Linked DNA regions of Caenorhabditis elegans. The protein of the gene in region 1 purifies or fractionates together with the protein of each later gene. This does not show direct contact. Each region holds a gene or a part of one and is shown on either strand. Other genes may lie near its edges.

The links.
Region 2: the proteins of rpc-2 (region 1) and rpac-40 fractionate together in Caenorhabditis elegans (co-fractionation; one large-scale study listed by BioGRID). This does not show direct contact.
Region 3: the proteins of rpc-2 (region 1) and Y17G7B.12 fractionate together in Caenorhabditis elegans (co-fractionation; one large-scale study listed by BioGRID). This does not show direct contact.

What each region holds. Positions count from the first base shown.
Region 1 is NC_003281.10:5,555,565-5,563,378, reverse strand, and holds the start of rpc-2 (DNA-directed RNA polymerase subunit beta), read right to left. Parts: upstream 6,015-7,814; coding exon 5,283-6,014; intron 4,870-5,282; coding exon 3,962-4,869; intron 3,722-3,961; coding exon 3,632-3,721; intron 3,583-3,631; coding exon 3,300-3,582; intron 3,003-3,299; coding exon 2,808-3,002; intron 2,537-2,807; coding exon 2,158-2,536; intron 1,699-2,157; coding exon 1,140-1,698; intron 622-1,139; coding exon 477-621; intron 1-476. Other genes in the region: hach-1 (3-hydroxyisobutyryl-CoA hydrolase, mitochondrial), read right to left, coding at 6,389-6,507, 6,558-6,778, 6,977-7,350, 7,403-7,795.
Region 2 is NC_003283.11:4,197,692-4,204,220, reverse strand, and holds rpac-40 (DNA-directed RNA polymerases I and III subunit RPAC1), read right to left. Parts: upstream 4,737-6,529; 5' UTR 4,731-4,736; coding exon 4,647-4,730; intron 3,928-4,646; coding exon 3,248-3,927; intron 2,205-3,247; coding exon 2,101-2,204; intron 2,049-2,100; coding exon 1,932-2,048; intron 778-1,931; coding exon 662-777; 3' UTR 525-661; downstream 1-524. Other genes in the region: algn-5 (dolichyl-phosphate beta-glucosyltransferase), read right to left, coding at 5,129-5,161, 5,808-5,996.
Region 3 is NC_003280.10:12,022,229-12,026,456, reverse strand, and holds Y17G7B.12 (RNA exonuclease 4), read right to left. Parts: upstream 2,597-4,228; 5' UTR 2,592-2,596; coding exon 2,305-2,591; intron 2,209-2,304; coding exon 1,920-2,208; intron 1,132-1,919; coding exon 1,048-1,131; intron 1,000-1,047; coding exon 931-999; intron 696-930; coding exon 615-695; 3' UTR 537-614; downstream 1-536. Other genes in the region: Y17G7B.8 (F-box domain-containing protein), read left to right, coding at 95-325, 444-536; glb-29 (Globin domain-containing protein), read right to left, coding at 2,790-2,870, 2,921-3,070, 3,563-3,749, 3,846-3,937.

The DNA of each region.
Region 1 (7,814 bases):
TTTTTTAACTTCCGAGCAACAGAGATTCAGAGCCATTAAAATAGAAAGTTTTGCTTTTTTTAAAAAGTTTTTAGGGAAAATGCTTTTTTTAAAATCGATTTCTCTGTTCTTATAAAAAAGTGGGAGTTCAAAAAAAAATTAATAATCGGTTTCCGACCTTTTTTTTCGATATTTTCAGATAAAAGTCGGGAAATGTATTCTCTCATGATCAAACAAAATCCATAATTTTCTCTGCGGTAAATCAAAAATTTTCAAGAACCTTTCCAAAAAACGTCAACCCAGTTTCCAAGAAAAGTCGACCCGCAAAGTCAACCCACGCAAGGCTTCTCCCAGTCTCTCCCGCAACAGTTTCGCTCCTCATTTTCGCAAAAAAGAACCACTTGAGAGTGTTACGGCTAGTGTAATGATGAGCAAAAATTGCGCGCACACACACAAAAGTAGCAAACTTTTAAAAAAAACTCGGTAAGGGAATTTACCTTAAACTCATCTGATGACACCATCAAACGCTCAATAAGCAGCATCGATGCTCCATAGGCAATGAGACAATCACGTTCCATTTCTCCAAGACGTAGACCTCCTTCTCGTGATCTTCCTTCTGTTGGCTGGCGAGTCAATGCGGCTCTGAAAATTTATAGATTTTTAAAAGAAACTCTGAGAATAAATTGAAAAAAATTTTTAAAAAAAGTTTTTTTTTTAATTTAAAAAATGTGAGAAAAATTAAAATGGTTTTTTTTGTTCCAAAATATGCATAACATTTCCGCGAATTGGATTTGAAAAAAATGTATTTCCACTATGAAAAATTGATTCTTTTTTCCCCTAATTTCCTAAGCTTCGAGCATTTTGTCAATTCCTTTTTCAGAACTTTTTCAATTTGGCTTTTTTCGAAATTTTAACCATGATAAAAATAAGTGAATTTTGATTGATACCAAATTTTCTAATTAAAAAAATGTTGCAATTCCTCATTGTTTTACATCAAAAGTTTTAAAGGAAAGTTGGAAAATGCAGAGTTAACTGTTCTAAAAATTTTTCTTTTTCAGATTTTGTTGCTAAACTTAATTTTTAAATATTTAATTGAAAATTCTTTCCAAAATTCAGAATTTCCAGACAAGACATTATCTAAATTCAAAATCTCTCCACACCTCGGTCCTCTGGCACGGGCGTGCATCTTATCCAAAACCATATGCTTGAGCTTCTGATAATAGATTGGTCCAAAGTAGATATAAGCAGATAATGGTTGTCCAGTAATTCCACTTGTCAGCATATCTTTTCCCATATAATTATAACCACAAGCAGCCAATTCTTCACAGACATCTTTAACCTGATCTCCACCAAATGCTGTTCCATAATGATATGTTCCATTCACTACTCCAGCTTTTCCAGATAACAATTCCATTAATTTTCCGACAGTCATTCGAGATGGATATCCATGAGGATTCATAATCATATCTGGCACCATTCCAAGATCATTAAATGGCATATCTTCCTGTTGAGCAATCAATCCGCATACTCCTTTTTGTCCGTGTCGAGATGAGAATTTATCTCCAAGTTCTGGCCGACGGGTTTGTCGAAGAAGAACTTTGAATAAATGAGCTTCATCTTCATTATAGGTAAGAAGAACTCGTTCCGCATATGATGGAGTTGGAGTTTTATACGTGATCGAGACGTCTTTGTAGTCAACTTGGCGTCCAGCGATTCCGACTGAAAATTTAAAGAATTGTTAGTGAACGTTTTTTTTTTTACTTTTTCAGAGTTTTATATTTAAATTTTCGTTTTAAATTAAATTAATTGAATATTTGAACGGAATAAATGTCAAGTTTTATTTAATTGTGAACGTAAAAAAGTTAGAAAATTTATATTCGCAAAAAAGAACGGAGACAGTTTCTTTGAGTTTTTTTTTAAAACATTTGTTTAATTGGTAAAAATTAAAAAATGCTATAAATACTTCAGATTTTTTGGAAAAAGTTTTAAAACAGGGTTTCTGTTGAAAACTCGCTTTCATTTTTACGAGGTTGGTCTGGGAATTGTTTATTATTCTTTTTTTTTTATATTTTTCGTGTTTTTTTTCGTAAAACTTTTAAAAAAATAGATGTCTTCTCGAAACTGTACATTCCGTTTTTATTTTCCTTATACAAATTCGTCATGCTCATTTCAACATACTTGTATTGGCAGAAGCCGACGCTCCAGGACCACTTTCTCCACTGACAACTGGCATGTGCTTATTGATAATCGTCTGTTTCGGCATAATACGTGCTCCGGCGAATACAATACCCTCTTGATCGAGATTTTTGTGCTTGAAAATTGGTTTTCTCGTGTTCGGATCCAATGCTGGTCCTAGAAGACGATCGAATGTCTGATTCGGATATTTTTTGGCGGTTCCCTTCACATGTTTGTAGACCAGACAACGACCATAACCACGATCCAGTGAAGCTTTATTGAGCACAAGAGCATCTTCGATATCGTAACCACTGTATGACATCACTGCGATGATTCCATTCGCGCCGGCCGGCAGTTTTTCAAAGTTTGTCAGTTCGATTGTCTGGAAAATTGTGATGTAAAAAGTTTGAACAATTGATAATTTTCTAAAAGAAAAACAAATTAAAAATTTCTGAATAGAATAATTGATTAGAAAGATATAGCGGATACTTCCGATTTGATTTTTTTATTTTTCGGAATTCAGGAAATTGATTTATTTTTATTTTCAGGATTATTAACGATATCTCTCCACAAACATTAGTTCAATAAATGAAACATGCATTTTTTAATCAAATTTTTTTCATAAATTTTAAAATATTTCAATTTTAACGAACCTTTGACTTAACGAGTGGTCTCTGTGGATAACATAAAAGATACATAATTGAATCAATTCTTTTCTGTTGATTATAGGCAATTGTTCCCATTGCTTGTTTACCCATAGCACATTGATAAGTATTACGTGGAGATTGATTATGATGTGGATATGGAATAAGACCAGCACACACTCCAAGAAGAGTAAATGGCTCAATCTGGAAATTTTGAAAGATTATTAATAGCTCAGACACTGAAAAGTGCAAATTTTATTTTAAACTAAGGATAAAAATCTTTAAATGTTGGAATTTCCTTGAATTATAGAATTTTAGAGCTCTAAATAATTTGATTTTCAATTTTTTATATTTAAAAAAATGAGAATTTAAACTTTTTTCACATAGTTTTAAGTTTCAGACAAATTTTACCAAATTTTTTGAATTTTCTTTACAGGAAAGAACAACCAGTTTTCGATTTAATTTTTTTCATTTTTAGATTCACAAAGTTCAAAAACGTACCTCCAAATGTGTAGTTTCTGGGCCAATTTCTCTCCCATAAACGGCAATCAACGCATCGTTCATCTCATTTACATCCAAATATTCGACAATTCCGTCATCAACAAAATCCTCAAAAATCATTTTTCCCTCTTTCAGTTCCTGCACGTGAGCCTGTGTGAGCATTGGAGTTCCGTTTTTGACAATAATATATGGTCGACACAGGCGGCCACCGTCTGATGAAATGAAAACAGAACGATTGGTTAGAGAACGGGATACTGAAACAAATTCTGACAGGAGTCCACTTCTGAAATTGAAATTCGATGAATTTTTTGGCAACATTTTTTTGTTGAAACCTTCTCAAATCTCTGACGGCTTTCACCACTCTTTCTGGATCCACAGCTGTTCCAATGAGCACTCCGTTTAAGAAGATCAACGTGTTTTCACTGAAAATTTTCGATAAAAATAACCTTTTTTTTAGGAAAAAACACAAAAAAATGGATCTAGTAATTTTCAAAAATTGTCAAACCTTAACTCGATTTGAAATCTAATTTTTATGAAATTGATAATTTATTTTAGAAATTTATAAAAATTGATTAAAATATGCGATTTTTTCAAAACTAGCATTCTCAAAACTTTTATTTTTCAAGATTTCACACTTAAAATTTTAATTTGTAAAAACTCACGGCTTATTGACATGCGAGAAATGCACATTATGTAAATCCTCGACTCCCGAATTGAGTAACAATCTGAGAACGGGTTTCTCATCGGAATCAGTTGTAATGTGACTAATCAAAGCGAGATTCTTCACAAGACCACAAGCTTCACCTTCAGGAGTATCACTCGGACAAAGCATTCCCCATTGAGATGGTTGAAGGGATCGAGGACCAGAGACTTTTCGAGTTTTCTCAAAAGTCGAGTTGATTCTTGTCATCATACCAAGTGCTGAGATATATGACAATCTACTTAGTACTTGTGTAACACCAAGTCGTTCCATTCGGAATCTTTTGATAATCCAATTTCCTGTCGACATAGCATTCACTATAGTATTCGTAATCATATCTTGTCTCATATGCTTCACAATATCCAATGGTGCAGCCATTGTCTTCATCAACGCATTGTCTGCAATTCTTTTCAGTTCAGAGTTGAATCTTTTGAATACATCCTCAAACAGCAACGAAAGCAATGATCCAGCGAGCTCCAAACGTTTATTTCCGTAGAAATCCCGATCATCAAGCCCATTTTCTCCGAGTTCCGTTTGAATCAGTCGTCTTGTCATTAATCCCAAATAAATCGCCTTCATTTTGAAATTTCCATCTGGGCAAGCAATATGTGTGATCATTGAATTGGACAGAAAATCGACTGCTTCGTGTTCTTTCGGTGGAGTCAAGACGCTCACTGAAGTTCCTGGAAGTGATCCGAATGGTGTGAATTTACGAGCCTTGACTTTTGAGGTAACATATGCGAGTGCCTGCTGTTGGGTATAAACTCCGGCATTTATGGATTCTTCGAGAGTTTGAGCAAATGCTGAAACGTACTTCTCCTCGTGACCGATTGTACTCACAATGTCAAAATCTGATTCGACTCCCATCGCCTGGAAAATTGAAACTTTGAAAAGGAAGCGGTTTTTAGTTTTTGTTTTAACATAATGCTACACTTTTTTTAAAATTTTCCCTATTTTTTGTAATAATTTTCTTGAATTAAAAAAAGCGAACTCGAATTTTGGAAAAAAAAATCTGAAAAACTCCAGATTCGATAATAAATGTTTTTGAGGAATTTCGATTGAAAATATCGTAAAATGTTCAGTTTCTCACAATCAGAAAGAAAGAAAGCTTCATTATTTTTTATTCTAAAACATTTTTTGAGAATATTTTTTGCATCAAAATTTGGAAAAATATTTTTCGGAGAATGTTTTTGTATTGGATGTTTTTTTTTTTAAATAAAATATTTAGGAATGAATGCCGAACATTTTTTTTTTCAGTTGTCATCAAAATTCTCAAAATTTACCTTGAAAATGATGGAAACTGGTACATCATCGGTGAGCTGATTGTGGCGAACAGAATATTTACCCTTCTTCATAGTCACATATGTCTTACTTTTCCTCTCGGACGTCGACGAAAGTACTTCACACTGCAGTTCTTTACTTGAATTTCTTCCAACCATAATACGATTTTTGGAGAGTTGTTCTTGAATCAGGATAACCTTTTCACTTCCTTTGACCACAAAATAACCTCCTGGATCATATGGGCATTCTTGAACTCTTGCAAGCTCTTCTTCGGCAAGATCTCTGAGAATACATTTACTCGAACGAAGCATAATCGGCATTCGACCAATGATCAGATCCTTCTTGAATACTCTTTGATTACCACGTGTGTACTCAATATCCACTGAAATTGGCGCCGAGTAGGTCATATCTCGTAGTCGACATTCTTGAGGGGTAATCTTATCGTGAGTCATGTTGAGACCCTCCTCACTGCTGGGTTTTCCGATTCGAATATCCAAATATTTGAGATAAAAGTTTGGATTTGCATCGGAAGTGATCTTCTGATTGGAGAGCATGATACTTCGGATCTCCTCCTGCACGAAATGATCGAAACTGACGAGATGCTGTTTGACGAGTCCTCGAACTTTCAAAAACGCGGGAACGAGAAGCCATTTGTCCTCGAGTGGCATGCATTTCTGATCCTTGCCGCACTCGGATTTTATGCGAGCGCGGCCGTTCACTTGGCCAATTGTCATCTGAAAATTGGTATTGAAAATCTGAAATTCTAGAATAAAAATTATTTGAAAAAGAGGTACAAAAACAGAAAATAACAGTTTGCAATAGAAATCTGGAAATAAAATTCAAAAACAAAAAAAAACTTTATATTCATACGGCGAATAGCTGAAAAAGGCACGGAAATTATTTGTACACCCGGAAAAATTAAATTATAGCTAGACATTTTTCTAAAAATAAATACATAAGGGGTTCCTATTAAAATGGTAAAAATTATGGGGGAAAATCAACATTTTGGGTGAAAAGATAGGAAAACGAGGAAATCCGATAAAAATTATGGGTTTCCCTGATTTTTTAGCTTTCCATTAAAAATTCAATTTTCCGCTAATTCTGGCCTCTACAATTTTAAATCAGAATTATTTGGCAATGGCGAGAAATAGTTATCGACGACAGAATCCTTCACATCAGCCAACGTCGCTGGATTCCACTTTGGCTTGCGATCCTTGTCAACGAGAACTGAAAAATGAGTCAAATTTTCAATGAAACCCTACAAAATCTCTGCTCACTGGCTCGGCACCCTTCATGGAAATCCTTATCGGCGAGGAATCGTTGAGTGAGACGATACTCCATTGTGAAGATCTTTGCATAGCTCATCTTGCTTCCTTCGGTGATTTGTCGGTGAGTTACTTTCAGGGAAGTTGGGCTCATTTTTCCTAGAGTGGCTGCTTGCTTCTTTGCCCAGTCGGATCCGTCTTTTTCGAGGCTTGCGAGGATTTCTTCGACGCTTCTGAAAAATCAATTATTTTATATATCTTAGGCAAATGTAATTTTTTGTGTGCTATCGAATCCTCAAAACTGGCCCTTTCCTAGTTTTTGCTTAAAACTAATATTATCTGAGAAACAATAATAAATCAATTCGATGAAATGCTACTTTTTAATTTGTTCCAACTCAAATACACGTGATCTTGGTGACAAAATATCTTACTTTGCTTTGAAGGAATCTCTAATTTGAGCCAAATTCTTGGACAGACTGAATTCTGGAATCTTCTTTGGCTCGAACGATCTGATGACTTCATCGACAGAGTTCTCTGTCACATCCTTAATATTCACAAGTTCCTTTTCCAATTTCGCAAGTTCCGAAGACTCCACAAAATGAGTGGCAAGACCAGCATGGAAAGCGTCAGCACCTAGAAGACGATATCCAGTGAGTGCCAAGTACATTCCGAGGTTTCCCTTGAGCCTTGAAAGGAAATAGGATCCACCGACGTCTGGGAAGAGTCCAAGTGCGGTTTCTGGCATTGCTAGCATTGTTTTCTCAGTGGCAACTCGGAAACGTCCATTTACAGAAAGACCACAACCCTGAAACAAGTTTTTTAAAAAATTGAAAAGAAAATAGTTGCAGATAACTTACTCCTCCCATCACAATTCCATCAATCAGACAAACGTATTGCTTATTCAAAGTTCCAATTAAATGATTTAAAATGTACTCCTCGCGGAAGAAATCCTTGTGCATTGTGCACTCTTTTCCACTCTCCGAATCTTTGAAAGATCGCACAACGGCAAGAACATCTCCTCCAGCACAGAACGCCTTATCACCGGATCCTTTCAAAATGACAAGATCCACATCGGAAGATGAATTCCAGGCTTGAAGTTTGGGATAAAACTCTCGTACCATTTCGAGGTTCAACGCGTTTAGCGCTTTAGGCCTATTCAATGTAACCACCTTCTTCGATCCGTGTGTGTCGACAAGGATTTCCGACTTGGCGGCGGCGCTCACGGAGAACGACATCTTCTGGCAGACTTCCTGGAAATTTCTGAGTTTA
Region 2 (6,529 bases), on another chromosome or scaffold:
TATAATTCGACAAAATATTGAATTTTTGCTAGTTTTCTAAAAACAATCGTTTTTTTTTCAATTTTCTGAAAAAAATTCGAAAACTGCCCCGTTTTTCCAGTATTTCGAAAAAGGATATTTTTTAGAACAAAATTGATTTTTCTTTTTTTCTGCAAAGAAAAGATTTTTCGCTTTTTCGATTTTCCGGAAAACCGAAAATGTTAGTTTTACAATTTTTTATTCAAATTTTGGTTTTTTTTTTTAATTTTTTGAAGAAAATTATATTTTTTCATCAGGATAGACAAAAATTGATGATTTTTAAAGTTTTGTTTCTAATTTTTCTGAAAATCGAAAAGAATTCGTTTTCCAATATTTTGAGAAAATAGCTCAAAATTTTGGAGTTTTTCCATTTTTTAATAATTTTTTTCTGAAAAAACCGAAAAAATGAATGATTTTTCTATGAACCTGTTAAAAAACTACAAAAAAAACAAATAAAAAATGGAAATTTCAACCATTTGGCCAACTAGGAGATATTTGAAGGTAAAAAAGCCACGAAAATTCATTCAAATTAAGAAAAAAGAAAGTGACGGAACAGTGTAACAACTTGAGGGGTAGTCAAACAACAACAAAAAAAAAGGATAACGAATAAAAAAATAGTAACAAAATTTCAAAAAAACGGGGATTATTGAATAAGAGCCTCGATTTGTTTGCGAAGAGAACGACACTTGATTTCCATGACTTTACAGGCTTCAACCACCAATTCAGACGATTTCAGAGCTCCAGTCGACTCTACACTGACTGAAAAAAAAACTAAAATTGCCGGAATTCAAAATTTCCGGCAAATCGGCAAACCGGCAAATTGCCAATTTGCCGAATTTGCCGGTAAAAATTGTGAAAAATTTTTTGTGTGTTTTTTTTTCAGTTTAAAAAAAAAGAAATTTGAAATTTTGGCAATTTTTTTAAATGGTTTTTTGGTTTTTTTTTGTATTTTTGAAGAAATTTTCATTTTTCTCATTGAAATATAATTTATTTTTAAATAAGTTTATAGTTTTTCCCTCTTTTTTCCTACGTTTTTTTCGGTTTTTTTTTTATATTTAAAAAAAATCGACTTTCTCAACCAAAAAAATTAGAAAACTTGGGAAAAATCGAAAAATTTCTGACGACGAAATTTTGTGTTTTTTTTTCGTTAAATTTTTTTTTCTCATCAGTTTCGATAAAATTGATTTATGGGGTTATTCAAGTAGTGTCGGAAAATTAAAAAGTGTAAAAAAATTTTTGCGAAAAAAAAAAAAAATTGCTACATTACTTGAATAACCCCATTAGAAAAAATCATATTTAATGGTTAATTTTAACCGATTTTTACTAATTTTCCACAAAAATTCGGGCCCTTGAAAAGTAGAAAATTTAGGATTTTTGTAATTTTATCGGAAAAAAGTTCGAAAAAATGGGTTTTTTTTGTGAATTTTTCAGAATTTTTCGAATTTTCCCCAGTTTCTGCTCAATTTTAATTTTCTGAACATTTTTTTTAAAAATTTTTTCGTTTTTTTTAAGTTCGAAAACTCAAAAATTTTCTTTTCCCAATTTCCAATTTTTCAACTTTTCGTTTTAAAAATTTTTTCAAAAAAAAAATCGAAAAACGGCACGTCTGTACCATGTTTCTGGCGAAAATTCTTTTTTTTTCGAAAAAAAAAGCGAAAAAAAATATATAAAAACTCCGGCTCCAAAAAAAATTACTTATACATTTTCCAAAAAAACCACTCTCAAAATTAAAAAAAAGAGTTAAAATTTGGCAAAAATATTTAAAATTTTCAAAATAAGGTTTCAAACTTTAACAAAATTGGGGTTTGTTTTTCGACAACTTTTCGTGTATTTTTTTTTGGAAAAAAAACCAAAAAAATGCGAAAAATTCATGAATTTCAGTTTTTTTTTTCGAATTCAGCCCTGCCACTAACAAATGAAATGCTGTTTGTTCTTTCCCAATTGAACAACTTTCGACAGATCTTCGTGGCGGAACACGTTACGACTGCACGTATCCTTGCGAGCATCCTTGACAACAGCAATTCGTTTGGCTGAAATTTTAAAAAAATTGGTGTGTTTCCTAAAAATTGATTTATGATCTACCTCCTTTCTTCTCGATAGCAATAACTCCCTCGCTGAATACTGATTTGAGACGTTCGGCAGCTTCACCCGAAATTTCGGCGTTCAAGCGGATCGTTGGAAGCAGTCTGGAATGAAAAGAAATTTTTTGAAAAATTGGAAGAATTTGAAGGTCAAATTGGCAAACCGGCAAACCGGCAAATTGTGTTTTTGCACATTTTTTTTGGAAATTTCAGATTTTCAATTTCAATCGGCTAAATTGTACGCATCCTATAAATGTTCCTACATGTATTTTGAAAAGTAGGCAAATTCTATGAAAATTTCCGGCAAACCGGCAAATCGTCAATTTGTCAAAAATGAAAATTCCGGCAAATCGGTAAACCGGCAAATTGCAGAAAATGAAAATTCCGGCAAATCGGTAAACCGGCAATTAACCGAAATCGAAGTTTCCGGCAAATCGTCAAACTGGCAAATTGCCGAAAAAGAAAATTTCCGGCAAATCGACAAATCGGCAAATTGCTGAAAATGAAAATTTCCAGCAAATCGCCGAAAATGAAAATTTCCGGCAAATCGACAAATCGGCAAATTGCTGAAAATGAAAATTTCCAGCAAATCGCCGAAAATGAAAATTTCCGGCAAATCGACAAATCGGCAAATTGCTGAAAATGAAAATTTCCAGCAAATCGCCGAAAATGAAAATTTCCGGCAAATCGCCGAAAATGAAAATTGCCGAAAATAAAAAAAAATTGGCAATTTGTCAAATTTGTCGACAAAAAAATTCACCTCTGGCTTGAAATTTTCGAACTTTTTTTTCCACAAAATTACAGAAAACAGTCTAAATATACTGAATATAGGTAGATGTACAAAAATTATTTAACTTCCCCAAAATATCTCGTAGCGAAAACTACAGTAACTCTTTAAAAGCTACAGTAGTCATTTAAAGAATTACTGTAGTTTTCGCTACGAGATATTTTGCGCGTCAAAAATTTTGTGTAATACGCATTCTCAGAATTTGGGGTCCCGTAAAACCGAAAATATATTATATGAATTATAATTTTTTTCCCCCCAATTTTTCACTTTTTCCGAGAAAATCGAAAAACGAAAAATTTTCAATTTTCCGGAAAACCGCAAAAATCAAAAGAAAATATTTCAGCAGCTTCAAAATTCACACCTATAGGACGCAGTAGCAACCGGTGAGAACTTTGCATGATCCCGTCCGATTCCCTTGACCGCATGGCAACTGGCTTCAATTTCCTGTCCAGGACGAAGCTTGGCAACGAGAATATCATCAGAAACCATACGTGGATGGGCTTCTTCGGTGAATTGCGTCTTCTGATCAGCAATCGGTACCCATTCAAAAGCACGTGAGTAGACCGAGCTATTGTGATAAAGCTGCTTCGGATCGGTAGCCGTCGGCACCGCATTTCGATTCTTCGTACACGAAACATTAATCTTGAAGATCAAATTTTTCGCGGGATCTCCCTCGGGCTCCTCGTCACAATCCACTCCCTTCTCATTGATTCCAACGACTTTTTCCTTTGGAAACTGAAATCCACGTGGATCCACACGAAGCGGCAGAAGACCCAAACGATGGCAGAGTACTTCATCTTGAATTACAGAAGTATTCTGATAGAGATAAATCTTCTCGAGAGCCATCGTTGGCACTTCGGCGATGAGCACACGGCGAAGAGCATTTGCAATTGGAGCTTCAATGCGAGTAATATCAAATTCCAATGTCATTCCATCGTCGGATTCATTGACCATTGCCACTTGGATTTGATCGCAATACTCGTTGATATCGAATTGTTTTGTATCGTCGTATTCGACATAATCGGTGCATTCGTCGTAGGTCTGGAATTGAAGAAGAATTTTTGGAAAATTTAAAAAAATAAAAATTTCGGCCGAAAAGCAAAAAATCGAATTTCTTCAAAAAAAAAAAACAAAAAAAAATATTGACCAGAAATGTCGGTTTTTTGGTTTTTTTTTCCTTTTTTTTTTGAGACGAAAAAATTGGCAAAAAAATTTTCCCGTGGTGGAGAGTTGAACTCAAACTGCTGCGAGTGAATATAAGCATTGACTCCATCTTCGATTTGCTGTTCAAGCGTGGGCGTTTTTAGCTTCTTGCTCTTCGGTCCGGAGGACATCGCGACAACGACGTTACGCGTGGTGAAAAATACACGCAATCCGCTTTTTTTTTGTTCATTTTTTCTTTGGTTTGTGTTTTTTTTTTCCAAAAAGTTGAAAAAATCGAAAGTTAATTTTTTCTTGGTTTATCTCACAATTTTAAATTTTTTCAATTTTTTTTGAAAAAAAGTAATCTTTCACTAATTTCCGGCAGTTGATAAATCGCCGCCTTTTTTCGTAAATTTGTATAACAATTTTTTTCGGAAAAATAACGATTTTCAATAAAAAATTGGAATTTTTTAAAATTTTTCTGGACGAAATTTTAAAAAAATACGGAAAATGCTTTTGCCGCCTGATTTCCTAACGAGACCCAACGTTTGGGGGCGGAGCGCTCTCGTTTCCCAATGGAGCGCGATTGCATCCTTGAAATATTCAAAAAATCCTACATTGAGCACAACTTCCTCTTTCATCTCGATCTCATCACTGTGATAGGTAGCCTGCTTGCTAGTTGCCGCCGCTTTTTTGACCATTTTTGCCTGGAAATTTTTTGATTTTTTTCGCCTGAAAACTCTATGGAAAGATATAAAATCGCTGGGAAAACGAAAAAAAAAACAAAAAAATGGAAAAAAACATTTAAATCGATATTTTTTTGAATTTAGCATTAAAAATAAACCCAGAGTCCCCAGAACAAGAGAGAAAAAAAAGAAAAACCAACAAGTAAATAAATAAATAATAAAAATGCGAAAAGAAAAAAGAATAGAATCACATTTTCAAGGAATCATGGATATTTACAACCAGCCATAAATTGGAAAAAAAATCAGGAAAAAGCAGGGAAAAAAAGTGATTAAAGCATAGATATTACTAGAAGAAAAAGGAAATTTTTGGGCAAGATTTTTTGAAAATCTCGTATCGATTTTTTGTGGAGCATTTAGCGAGGCTGGTCATCCGTCCAAATTCCGATCTGAAAATAAAATTTTAATGTCAAAAATATTGTCAGGTCGCTCTACCGCACACGAAAATGGCGGGAAAATATTTTTTGAAAATTTGTGACGTCACACAGCGCATTTTGAATAATTGCTTTTGTTCAATTTAAGCGCCGATTTTCGTGAAATTTTTTTAAAAACTGGCTCATTTTAATTTATAAAATTTGATATTTTACAAAAATTCTAAAATTTAGTGGAGAAATTGAAGCAAAATACAATAAAAATGAATAATTTCAATTTAAACAAAAATTTATTTGGAAAATCATTTTTAAAAAATTCACGGAAACTTGGTAAATGAACGGTTTAAATGGTTTTTCGAAAAAAAAAATTCGTTTCAATTGAAATTATTCATTTTTATTGTGTATTTTGCTTCAATTTTTCCACTAAATTTTAAGAATTTTGGTAAAATATCAAATTTTATAAATTAAAATGAGAAAGATATTATTTATTTATTTTTTTTTTAAGTTTGACAAAAATCGGCGCTTAAAATTAAGAAAATTATTCAAGATACGCTGTGACGTCACAAATTAAAAAAAAAATATTTTCCCGCCATTTTCGTGTGCAGTAGAGCGATGGGACATCCTGACACCACTTCAAAAAAGGCCTAAAAAACTGCAATTTTACCGTATATCTGAACCAAATGAGCACAAGATCTCGGCCCATTTGAAGCCAAGACCAAATTGGAGTAATCTTAGACCCTTCGATTTCAGTCCATCGAACTGAAACTTCTTTCACAGGGACCGTCCATCTTTCGCAAAGGAAGATGAGCTCAACGTCAAAAGCCCAGCGCTCAATGTGAAGTACTGGGAAAATCTGAAAAAAAAACGTTTTTTTTTTTTGGTTTTTTTTACTTTAATTTGACGAATTTTAGCTAAAATCTTAAATCAGGAATTGAAAATTTTCGGCAAATCGGCAATTTGCCGGAATTGAAAATTTCAGGAAAATCAGCAATTTGCCGGAATTGAAATATCCGGTAAATTGACAAATTGCCGTTATTGAAAATTTCCGGCAAATCGACAAATCGGCAAATTTCCGGAATTGAAAATTTCCGGCAAATCGGCAAACTTCCGGAATTGAAAATTTCCGGCAAATCAGCAAATTGCCGGAATTGAAAATTTCTGGCAAATCGGCAAATTGCCGGAATTGAAAATTTCCGGCAAATCGGCAAACTTCCGGAATTGAAAATTTCCGGCAAATCGGCAAATTGCCGGAATTGAAATTTCCGGCAAATCGGCAATTTTGCTGAATTTAAAATTTCAGGAAAAATGGCAAACCGACAAATTGTCGATTTGACGAATTCGCCTGAAACACGGCAATTGCCGAAAATTTTCGGCAAATTGTGGTTT
Region 3 (4,228 bases), on another chromosome or scaffold:
AAAATTTTTCAAGAAAAAAGCCGTTTAAAGTCGAAATTCTCAATAGATCGCGTTTTCATCCTAGTTTTTCCCGCCAAAACTTCACATTTTCCAGAGAATTCTATCGCGTCCGATGAAGCGAAGTCACTGGTTCCCTGGATTCCACGTGCCAGTCGCTGAAAGATTATTCCGCCAGATTTTCCGCCAGGAAATGTTTGAAAAATTCGAGAATCACTCGATTCGTAAAAGTCCGATCAATTTGAAATTGTGGATTTTCGTGAAATTCACAAAATGTGGAATATCGATTTTTGTGGGGGATCCCAAGGATTTTAATGAACGGGATGGGGTTATTTTTCGATAAAAAATCGAATTTTTTAAATTTTAAAAATTTTTTAGCAAAAAAAAACTTAATTTTCGAAATTAGAAATTTTTTAGGGTTCCAAAAATTTTCAATTATTTTCCAGACCTGCGATCTGGAATGGATGTGCCCGAATTGTGCTCCGAAAACTATGGAAAACTGGTTTTTCCGCGAAACTATTGGGAAATTGCATTTTTGATTTTTTTTTTTCTGAATAAAACTTTCTACGAAACAGACAACAACGAGTAACAACAAAAAACAGAATAAATTGAAAAAATTAGCGATATCTCTTAATTTCGGCCTCCCATTGCTTTTTGACGGCCTCGTAGAGACGAAGAGCCACTCGAGCGTCGGTGATCTGAAAAAAAAACGAATTTTTGTGATTTTTTCGAGAGAAAATTTTAATTTTCAGCTGAAAAATCTGGTTTTTTTTCGGTTTTTTGTATCAAAAATTGGAATTTAAAATTTTTCAAAAGTTTCGAAAAAATAATTTTTTGAAATTTTTTAAAAATTTTCAAAAAATAATTTATTCAGATTTTTTGAATTTTTAAAACAAAATTTCAATTTTTGTCAATTTCCCTGAGAACCCCTACCGAATCGTGTTCTCCTCGCTGAATCTCAATTCCCAGTACTTCTTTTGCCAGTTTTTTCAGTGACGGGGTCTGAAAATTTCGAAACTTATGCATTTTTAAGGAATAAAATTCACTTACACCGTGATGATTAGCCATATTCTTGAGAATTGTGCATTTCGCAGTGTCTCGGGTCAGTTTTCGAATGTGATTCAGTTTCAGAACCTGGAAGTTTTTTTGTGTTTCTGAATTTAATTACAAATTTTTTAAATGAAAAATAATTATTTTTTGAAAAAAAAATATTTAAAAAAATAATTTTTTTATTTCGTTTTTCGACATTTGATTTCATATTTTCAAAAAAAAAATTTTTAACTTAAAAAAAAAATAAAATCGCTCTTTTTTTTAAATTCTTCGAATTTTCGCTCAAAATTTTAATTTTTTTATAATTTTCGAATTATTTGTTATTTTTTTAAAAATCATAAAAACATTTACGATTAATACTGAAATTTTACTTTTTTTTCGAAAATTGGGATTTTTTGATTTTTTTAAAAATTTCGTTCAGGCGATTTCAAAAAAAAAAGGAAATTTTTTTTCAATAAAAAAAACTTTGGAATTTTTAAATATTTTTTTTTTTTAATTATTTTTAAAAAATTAAGATTAAAACTGAAGTTTTCAAAAAATAATTTCAGTATTTGGGATTTTTTAATTTTCTCTCAGTTTTCCAAAAAAAGTAAAATTTTAGAACATTTTTTTAAACGAATTTATGGTTTTTTGAATTCCCGCTCAAATAAATTCCGACTTTTTTGCGTTAAAACACCATTTTTCAAATTTTCAGCCATTTTTCCGGAAAAAATTATTTTTAAAAATGTGAATTTATCGGCGTTTTGACGGAAAAAATTATAGTTTTTTAATCGAAAATTTGGGTAAAAACGGAGAAAATTATTTAAAAAAAAATTTTGACAATATTAAAATCTGATTTTCAAATTTTTTTCGAATTTCTCCTCAAAATTCACCCTAAAATCATTATGAACAGCATGTCCAATCACAATTCTTCCATCAATCAACTTTGAAACTTCAGTTTGTGCTCTATCAAATGGAATCGCTTTTATCATATTTTCCGGGCGAATTCCAGACACCGCAGTACGGAAATCCGTGACTTTTTCGGTTGGCTTCACGAATTTGTCGTACACGATCTTGCCGAGCTCATTGACAATCGAAATTCTCGCCAAAATATCCGTTGTTCCACCCATTCCGGCTCCGACGTATTCACAATCGATTGCGATTACTTTTGTCAGCTCTCCTCTGAAAAAAAACGATTTTTAATACATTTTTCGTGGTTTTTCAAGGATTTTCGACTAAAAATCGCCGATTTTTAGCCTTTTTCCACACATTCCGAACCTTTCTGAATCTTCAATAACCACCGGAATATCATGATGAACTCGTTTGACCTCCGAAGCGGCGGCAAGAGCCTCCTGAGCTCTCCGCTTCCGATTCATCTTCTGTTTTTGCTTTTTCGTCTGAACTTTTGTGAATCCGTCGTCACTTCCTTCAGGATTCGCTTCTTTTTCAGCTTTTGCAGCTTTTTCTTTCTCCGCTTTCTCTTCATTGAGCTTCATTTGCAGCACTTTCCACGCCGGCGACAAATCCTTCGGGTCCACTGTTTTTGCAGCGTGTTTTGATGCCATTTAAGCTAAATTTTATCGATTTTATCGGCAAAATAATTAATTCCAATATATTTATTCAATGTTTTTACATGAAAACACCCGAAAAATCACGAAATTCGGTAAAAAAAGAGGAAAAATAAAATAAAATAATAAATTTATTTCAGTGCAATGTAACGTGACGGTGTACACACACCAAATACACCACATCCGACGCGCAACTCAATTCCCACTGGGTACTGTACTTGGCGGATTGCAGCTGTTTCGGCGGCCATTTATACGTGACATTCTGTCGAATCCGACCTGAAAATTGTCGAAAAATTAATTGGAATTGAAAATGCTAGGCCACCAACCTTCATCTCGTCAGTTACACAGGCCAACAGGAGCCTCCAGGCTTTTACAGTCTCGTGATTAAATTTTACGACATCTTGCGAGCCGATCACGAAAACCGAAATCTCTCCAAATTGCTCAATCATCGCTCCAGTGAACCCACTTTCAGCCATCTGAAAATTAGGCCATCAATAAGGTTTTTCTAGGCCACCAGTGATTTTTCTAGGTCATCAATGTGTCTTCTAAGCCACCAATGGTTTTTCTAGGCCATCAATTATTTTTCTAAACCTCCAATGATCTTTCTAGGCCATCAATGTTTTTCTAGGCCATCAGTGTTTTTTCTAGGCCATCAATGATTTCTCAAGGCCATCAATTTTTCTAGGCCATCAGTGGCTTTCTAGATCATCAATGATTTTTCTAGGCCATCAGTGTTTTTTCTAGGCCATCAATGATTTTTCTAGGCCAACAATGATTTTCTAGGTCATCAATATTTTTTCTAGGCCATTTATAGTTTTTTCTAGGGCAAGAATATTTTGTATAGGCCATCAATGATTTTTCTAGGTCATCAGTGTTTTTTCTAGGCTATCAATGTTTTTTCTAGGCCATCGGTGATTTTTCTAGGCCACCAGTGGTTTTTCTAGGCCATAAGTATCATTTTTGCTCACCTGAGCATGTTTCTCTCCATAATGCCGTATCATCGTCAACTGCTCGTTAATATTTTCCAAATTTTCAATAAGTCTCTCGAATATTCCAACCATACATTTACAGTGGTCATATTCCGTCTTTACAAGGGGCGGAGTCTGGCGTTCGCGGCTCAGTGAGTTCACGAATGCGGTAGTGAGAAATATCGATCTGGAAATTACGATTTTTGATCTCTGCTATACAAGTGCGCTCCATTGTGAAAATTTTAAATTAAAAACAAATGTTTTTATAAACCACGTGGCTCACCTCATATCTGGGCACTTTGTCTCGAGGCGTCTGAAAATTTTCTCCATGAGTTTGAGGAATGTGCCGCCCGAATTCATCGCATTGAAACTTTGCTGAAAATTTAAAAATTGCGTGGTTTTTCTAGGCCATCTATGTTATTTCTAAACCATGAATGTTGTTTCTAGGCCATCAATGTTTTTTCTAAGCCATGAATATTTTTTCTGGGCCTTCGTAGTTTTTTTAGGTCATCAATATTTTTTCTAGGCCATCAATATTTTTTTCTAGGCCATCAATGTTTTTTAGGTCGTCAAAGCTTTTTTATGCCATAAATATTTTTTCTAGGCCATAAATTTGTTTTCTATGCCATCCGTGGTTTTCTAGGCAATCAATTTGTTTTCTAACTT